Linked DNA regions of Macaca mulatta. The protein of the gene in region 2 interacts with the protein of the main gene of each other region in a pairwise test. Links are inferred from orthologs where the notes say so. Each region holds a gene or a part of one and is shown on either strand. Other genes may lie near its edges. The genes, in order: EHD1 and RBSN.

The links.
Region 1: the proteins of RBSN (region 2) and EHD1 interact in binary tests that used the Homo sapiens proteins (3 or more experiments, as listed by UniProt). The link is inferred for Macaca mulatta from reciprocal best matches to the Homo sapiens genes RBSN and EHD1.

The regions. Positions count from the first base shown.
Region 1 is NC_133419.1:9,513,535-9,517,444, reverse strand, and holds the start of EHD1 (EH domain-containing protein 1), read right to left. Parts: upstream 2,851-3,910; 5' UTR 2,782-2,850; coding exon of another isoform or gene 2,759-2,781; coding exon 2,355-2,758; exon of another isoform or gene 1-2,354. UniProt on the Homo sapiens protein: ATP- and membrane-binding protein that controls membrane reorganization/tubulation upon ATP hydrolysis. In vitro causes vesiculation of endocytic membranes. Acts in early endocytic membrane fusion and membrane trafficking of recycling endosomes.
Region 2 is NC_133407.1:153,898,311-153,902,120, forward strand, and holds part of RBSN (rabenosyn-5), read right to left. Parts: 5' UTR 3,660-3,810; coding exon 3,512-3,659; intron 1-3,511. UniProt on the Homo sapiens protein: Rab4/Rab5 effector protein acting in early endocytic membrane fusion and membrane trafficking of recycling endosomes. Required for endosome fusion either homotypically or with clathrin coated vesicles.

The DNA.
Region 1 (3,910 bases), on a different chromosome or scaffold from region 2:
ACATACGTAAAAATGCCTCATAAATGAGCCCAGAAAGCAAGTTAATATCTACAGGACCCAGAAACCAGCTGCTCTGCAGAGCCCAGGGTATATGGCAGAAAACAAGAAAGGCAGCAAGCAGCAAAGATGCCTCTGATTCCATTTCACCAAGGACGCACAGGTGGCAGTCCCAGTTATGCAATGAGTTTTCGCAAGACACTCTTACGACACCCTGACTGCACCTTGCCTTGGTCTGCTCCAGCTGATTTTATTCTTAGAGCAGCCACATATGGGAAAAAGGTCGGAAAGTCAAGTTCACGACTCAATGAGTCTCTTTAAGACTCAGCCGGGAGAGGCTGTATCAGCCAGAGAAAAGCCCCCTTTGTTGCACCCTCCTCGCCGGGCACACTCCCCACACTACACATCCTGACACAGCTCGGGGCCTCAGCGCGGGCTGACAGGGCCCTTTCAGCAAGGCCATCAGTGATCAGGGATCCTCTGGAGATGAGGTGGCAGCAAGAAGGAAATAAACGTGTGCCACCTCTCAGATCCTGTGGCACCAAAGTCATCAAAGCACCAGTCTCGGACAAAGCAATCCTGAATTGCTCTTTTTCAGGTAGAAGCAGCAGAAGGCAGTAACTGGCTGCGCAAAAACCAGGCAGTCAGTGCTGGCTGACCTAAGGGGTGACTTCCTCAAATCAGCTGGACCCTCTGAGCCTCGGTTTCCTGAACCAGTGAGGTGGAAGCTGCGGAGACGATGTCTAAGATCCTTCCAGCTCTGAAACTCTAGGCTTCCAAATTCAGAAAACTGGTCCTGTGCCATGTTTCTCCTTTCAAAAAAGGTGTGCCCTCACAAGGAAAGTGAAGAGCTCAGGACAGCAGAGGCAGCGGGGGCAGTGACCCTTCCCACGGTTTCCCAAAGTTTTGCATGGAAGCAGAGACCGAACACTTGGACTTTCTGGCACAGCCGCCAAACTTTTCACAGGGTCGAATGGCTCCCACCAGCTAATGGTTTCAGCTAATCACTTCTCTACCAGTGCGCAAAGCACAAATCTTGAAACGAGGTAAGGTCAGAGCAAGAGGACCCTGCCTCTTCAGGGCCCCTAGCCCAAAGAGCTGCACTCAACCTGACCTTGATAGACAAACATCAACGTCCACAAAACAGGAGGGCGGTCTGAAATGACTGGAAGTGGCAACAGACCCTGCTGAAGGTCAGCTCTGTGCATGGAGTAGGCCTGGCCACCGGCTTGGCTCTAGGGCAAGCTGCCCTGCACGGCTAGATGGCATCTGGAAAGGAATGTGACCACGCAGGGCGGCGACCTGGAAGGCAGGATTCAAAGATTCCTTCAGAGGCGCTTCCCTGGTGCAGAATTTGAAAGGCATGTGGAGTCCGTGAATGTGGGCGGCAGGGAGGGCAGGGTCTGTGAAGTACTTTGGTAGGTAGTCCTTTCGTATGAAGTACTTTGGTATGCCTGGGGGTTGGGACCGGGATGTCTCAAGTTTCTTTGGAGAAAAGTGAGCCTGGCCATTGCACTCCTTGAGGGGCGGGGGCACTGTGTTTCACTCACAGCACTGAGAGAGGCAGAGTCCTGGAGATCACTCTAATCGTGTACAGAGGCCACTTCACTGGGAAAATGAGGTCCAAGCGGGTGCAGGAACCTCAGATTCTGTCTCTCAGTGCACAGAAGGGCTTAGGGCCAGAATCTCATTGCAGGGCTCCCACTGCCACCACCTCATCCTGCTTCCTGAAATCCCTCAAGGCAGCACTGACCTCTTGAGAGCTGCCTTTGGGAGAAGTGTTCAAACCTCAACTGTCCCCTGCCTCCAAGGGGCTGCCCCAAAGTCAGCAAGCCACAGTAGATCCTCCTCCTCCCTCCTACACAAAACCACCCTCCCAGGGGAGGCAGAGCAGACCCACCCCGCACCAGAAAAGGGAATGACTAAAAGTTTCATTGTGTTTTGCTATTGACACTTAAGGAGACAGGGAAGGGAGGGTTGATTTCCATGAATTAGGTGCATCCAGTCTGCGGGAAGGAGGTGGAGACCAAGAAAAGGAGCCCAGGAATGGCTCAGCTTCCCACCGCGGCCCTGGTTCTGAGGGGAGTGGGGCTGGGATCTGCAGGAGGGCTCGGTGGTTAACCTGGAAGATTCTGGGGACAACAGAAGCTGGGGGAGCGGGCAACGCCCACTCTTAGAAAACCGGCGGGTTTTCTCTGGGAAGCGGCAGGGCCCTTGGACCAGGGAGTGATCACTGAGGGTCTCACTGGGGCCTCGGAGACAAAGGACGGCGGGGCGACAGCCACGGGAGGGTCAGGCTCCCAGTGCGGTGTGTGCCCCGGCCGCGCCCCCCGCCCCCTGGAGTGATGGGTGGGTACCTGTTGAGGAAAGCGTTGCCGAAGGCGTTGAGCTTGCGGAAGGGGCGCCGCGGGTCCACCACGAGCGCGTTGCCCGGCACCACGCCCTCAGTGGGGCCGTGCATGACCGCGATGAAGGAGTCGGTGGTGGGCTCGGGCCCGATGCGCATCCCGGGGAAGTCCTGCTCGATCAGGTGCCGGATGAAGGTGGTCTTGCCGGTGCTGTACTGCCCCACGAGGAGCACCATGGGCTTGTTGTCGAAGTCAGCGTCCTCCAGCGCGGGCGAGTGGAACTCGTGGAAGCGGTAGTGCTCCTCCAGGGGCAGCAGCTTCTGCGCGTACAGCTGCCGCAGCCCCTCAGCCACCGTCTGGAAGAGCTCCGGCTCCTTCTTGCGGCGGGCATCCTTGCTGACCCAGCTGAACATACTGCCGGACACGGGGCTGGCTGCTGCGGGGCAGAGCGGCGGCTGAGAGCGGGGCGTGGGCGCGGAGCCGAGGCGCCGCAGGCCAGGGCAGGGGACGAGAAGCGACCCACACTGCGCAGGCGCACAGCCCAGCCAGCCGAAGCGCCCTCTGCCGAATGGAGCGCGTTCCTCGCGGAGCGGCCTTTATAGGGTCAGTCCCTGAGGGGCGGCTCGCGCCGCCGCGGCGGGGGCAGGGCGCAGTTGGGAGAGGTAGGGAGGAGCCCCTCCCGGCCCCGCCCCTTAGACTTGTGCCACGTCTTCCCCTCCCCCACCTCCCATTGGCTGATTCCAAATCTCGCGAGGCTGTGGTCCGGGTGCCGTGGCAACCGTACCTGTTTCGCCCCGCCCCTCGTGTGGAGGCTCGCGAAAGTGCTGCGGTTAGGAAGGCGAGGAGCAGGCGTCAGGCGGCGACGGTCCGTGGGCCTGCGCGCCTTCCAGCACCGTGGACCCCCCACACCCCCGCGGGATGGCTCCACGAGACACCCAGTGCCCAGTGCCTTGGTTCCCTGACTACGCGCCGCGCCCGCCGTTCCCCACGTGCCGTCCTCCCGCTGGCTCAGAATCCCCGGAATCATCGGAGTACCCCCGCGGCACCTACTCGTCTCTGCCCAGCTTCCCAGACACACACAGTCTTTGTCCCCTCATCTTTTATCTGCTTTGGGAGAGGGAGAGGCAGGAAAGTGGTAGCAGAGCAAGCTGAGGGAGTAGAGAATCCGGGGCGGGGCGGTGACTGGGGAAATAAAAATGGGCAAGGAGAAGCGGGCACACGGGCAAACTGACGGGCAGCGAGAGGCCTGACCTCCCCTCAGGCCGAAGGGGTGGGAGTGGGAGAGGGACGCAAGCGGGGGAGGACATGGGTGACACCGGACGCGCGCGGGAGAAGAGAAGGCTTCCCCACAGAGGTTACAGCTGGGGCAGGGCAGGAGGACATGAGGAAGTTGAGGCCCTCTGGTCACTTGCGTTTTGGGAAGTGAAATTGAAAATTCCCTATGCGGGGAAGTGGGGAAGTGTGGGTGCAACAATGAAATCTTGTGGGAACTTAGGGGGAAATTTAAAAACCCAAATACTTCCGCTTTCCTCTCAAGGTCACCATCATTTACCATCTTTTACTGG
Region 2 (3,810 bases):
CTCAGTCTCCCAAGCAGCTGGGATTACAGGCATATGCCAACACACCCAGCTAATTTTTGTATTTTTTTTGTAGAGACGGGGTTTCACCACGTTGGCCAGGCTGGTCTCAAACTCCTGGCCTCAGGTGATCCACCCACCTCAGCCTCCCAAAGTGCTGGGATTAAAGGCATGAGCCACTGTCCCTGGCCTAAAGTAGTCTTTTCTAGTAACAGGGGAGAGGAAACTGCCTGATGTGAACAAAGGGTCTAGCAAACAGGAATGTGAGTTAGCAAATAACAATTCATTTTTGCAAACAAGACTAGAGTATCAGGTTAAACAGGCAATCTATACCATTAACCACATTAGGAGACAGCAAAACTACCTGGCAATCTTCCCAGAATGGACATAGCCCTTCCACAGGAGGTCAATTAAGAATAATCCCATATATTTTTAAAAACAATAACAAAGCAAGAAGCCACAGTCAATTTTCAGCTATCTTTTCTTCTACTTACTGAAAATGGGCTAAACTGGAGCTGAACCAGGACTGGGTCTCGAATCCACAAACTTTTTCCTAATGACTAGTCTATCTTTTCTTTTTTGAACTGCCCCCAAAAACTAATACTAAGGTTCACTCTTTTGGCTTTAACTTTTCACTTGCCTAAAACTAACCATGTCATAACATTTCTAAGAATCAAAAGACCAAATGGAGAGGTAATCTGCTTTCTAAAGGGCTTTTCAAAAAACCTTTCATGTCAATCCTTAAAACTTTACTTTCCTGATTCTGAAATGCAGAAAACTGCAACATAATCAAGAATTCCTTTCTAACTAAAGATATGATCATTAGTAGTACTAGAGGTAGAGATGCAGGGGGTAGGGCAGGGTGGGAGATAAAGGGTAAACCAAGAGGATCTTTTCTTTCTTTTTTTTGAGACAGTTTCACTCTGTTGCTCAGGCTAGAATGTGACAGCCTTGATCTCCCAAGCTGAAGCGATCCTCCCACCTCAGCCTCCTGGGTAATTGGGACTACCAGTGCGTGCCACTATGACTGGCTAATTTTTTTAAATAATTTTTTTGTAGAGATGGTCTCGCTATGTTGCCCAGTCTGGTCTCCTGGGCTCAAGCAATCCTCCTGCCTTGGCCTCCCAAAGTACTAGAATTACAGGCATGAGCCACTGCACCTGGCTGAAGTAACTTTATTTTGTTTTTTGTTTTTGAGTCAAAGTTTCACTCTGCTGCCCAGGCTGGAGTGCAGTGGCATAATCATGGCTCACTGCAGCTTCAACCTTATGGGCTCAAGGGATCCTTCTGCTTCAGCCTCCCAAGTGGCTAGGACTACAAGTGCATGTCATCATACCCAGCTAACTAAAAAAAAAAATTTTTTTTTCTCTTTTTTTTTTTTTTTGGTACAGACAGGATCTATGTTGCCCAGGCTGTTCTCAAACTCCTAAGCTGAAGCGATCCTCCCGCCATGGCCTCCCAAAGCGCTGGGATTACAGGTGTGAGTCACTGTGCCCAGCCAAGGATCCTTTCAAGTTTCTTTCATAAGGCACAAAATTTCCATTCTATTTAGTATTCCTTAAATAGATTCCCGTATCTGTATTCTCTAAATAACCTTAAACACTCTTCCTCTTAAAAAAGGGTCAGTGAAGGAATCGGGGAACATTCTCTAACCTCTCTACCCACTGGCATCACCAGTTTTAGCAATGGCATTGTATATGACTTAGTTCAGCTGACACCAAGACTGGAAGCTAGTTGAAAATGATGGAGGCTCTTCCTTTGGTTGGCAAAGGAAACTTACATAATCAGGTTTTTCAGTTTTGTTTTTGCTTCATTTCCTCCAGGAAGCTGCAATGCACGCTGTGATTGAAACACGGGGCCTCTCACCCTGTGATGTCACATGCAAACAGCAGCACTGGACATAGAGATGACAGAAGACCTACATTCCAGGCCTAGCTCTGCAATTCCTGTGTGACCGTGGATAAGTAACTCAACATCTCTTGAGCCTCACTTCACTTACTATCTATAAAATAAGACCAATCACCTTCTTGCAGAGTTGTTAGGAGAGTCAGATGAAATAATAATGTCTGTGAAATAAACTCTAAAAACTATAAAGCACAGCATTTTTTTCCCCTCCTAATAGTTTTGGCTCTGCTCTACAGCCTCTACAGCCAGAAGCCACCTCATCCACCATAGCCCTCAGGATTTCAGAAATGTTTGCCTTTGTTGTTTTTGGATAGAAGTTGCAACTGTTTATGCTTTTAGAAACTCTTTTTTACTGAACAGAAAAGTGAGATAGAGTGGGACTCTAGGGACAACTATGTGATTACAAAGTACATATGAGTCACCTGTCAGAAAGCCAAAGCACACTTAGAAATATATGGTCATTCCTTTCTTTCCCTCCCAATAAAGACTGTGAATACAGCATCCAGAACTTTTTAATCTCATGGCCTTCAGAAATGCTGCCAGCTGTGAGAAGCAAGTTAGCTGAAAACTACAAAAATAAGTTCCAGAGGAGCAGCATCTTTGTTGTGCGTGTGTGTGTGTGTGTGTGTGTGTGTGTGTGAGAAAGGGTCTCTCTCTCTCTGTTGCCCAGGCAACAGTGGCACGATCATCACTCACTACAGCCTTGCCCTCCCTGGGCTCAAGCGATCCTCCTACCTCAGTCTCCTGAGTAGCTGGGGCAACAGGCGTGCACCATCACATCCGGCTAGTTTTTTTAAAAATTTTTTTGTGAGGTGGGTTTCGCGATGTTGCCCAGGCTGGTCTTGAACTCCTGAGCTCAAGTGATCCACCCACACTGGCCTCCCAAAGTGCTGGGAATAGAAACATAAGCCACTGTGCCCGCCCAGAGGAGAAGCATCTTATCTGGAGGTTAGAATTTGATGTCCAGGAAATACAATAAACATATGTATAGTCAAAACTACCTTTGAAAAATTCTTTCCACAACTCTCTCAGATCTGAGCTCTTGGAAGCTCAAAAACCAAGGTTTTCAGATTGTTTCTTTTGTTTTTCAACTACGACCTTCCTTTTTCTGGGCTACAGAGGGCAAGATACCAGTTGGGGAAGGAAGGATGGTGGGTAGGCTTAAATTTGTGACAGGTAAAATGGGTGCATAATGTGCCTCCATCATCATAGCAAAGGAAGAAATTCCTCTCCAAATTCTATTAGGCTAGTAGTTAGAGAATAGTCAAGCCAGATCACAGCAATTACATTTACTAGATTCAAAGTCAAACTGTGTTTCACTGAGTGGTTTTAGATAAGTTATCTAATCTCTTTGTGTCTGGTGCAAAATGTGGCTCACAGCCACACAGTTATTGTGAGGATTAAATGAAATAAATAAACAGGGAGACTCTGAAAATGCCTGGCACATGACAAACACTAGTCATTTGTTTGCTACTACTGTTATCATATTCCCGAGGCAACACTGAAGCTGATGAGAACTATCCCGTGAGTTAAAGCTCTCAATGACAGCAGGGTATAGGCAAGGTCCTATATAGTATATATATGACCCAGCAAGGTCCTTGCCTCTTACTTTTAATTTGCCCTTTGACATCACGGTCTTCGCCCGAGTGTTCTTCCTCATAATGTGAGTGAAGCTGATAGAAAGACTGCAGATCCTTCAGGCACAGAGGGCAGAGGAAGCCCTCCCTCACTTCCCCTGGGTCATCCAGAGAAGCCATGGCGGTGCCGCTCTCAACCCTAGGAAGGCAGGGATCTCATGCCAAGAGTCAGCTTGATTCCTCCCAAGGAATCATAGTTCCCACAGCATTAGCTTAAGCAGCACACAGACGGTGAGGAAGTAGCCTCATGGCCCTGAATGAGGTTTCCTCT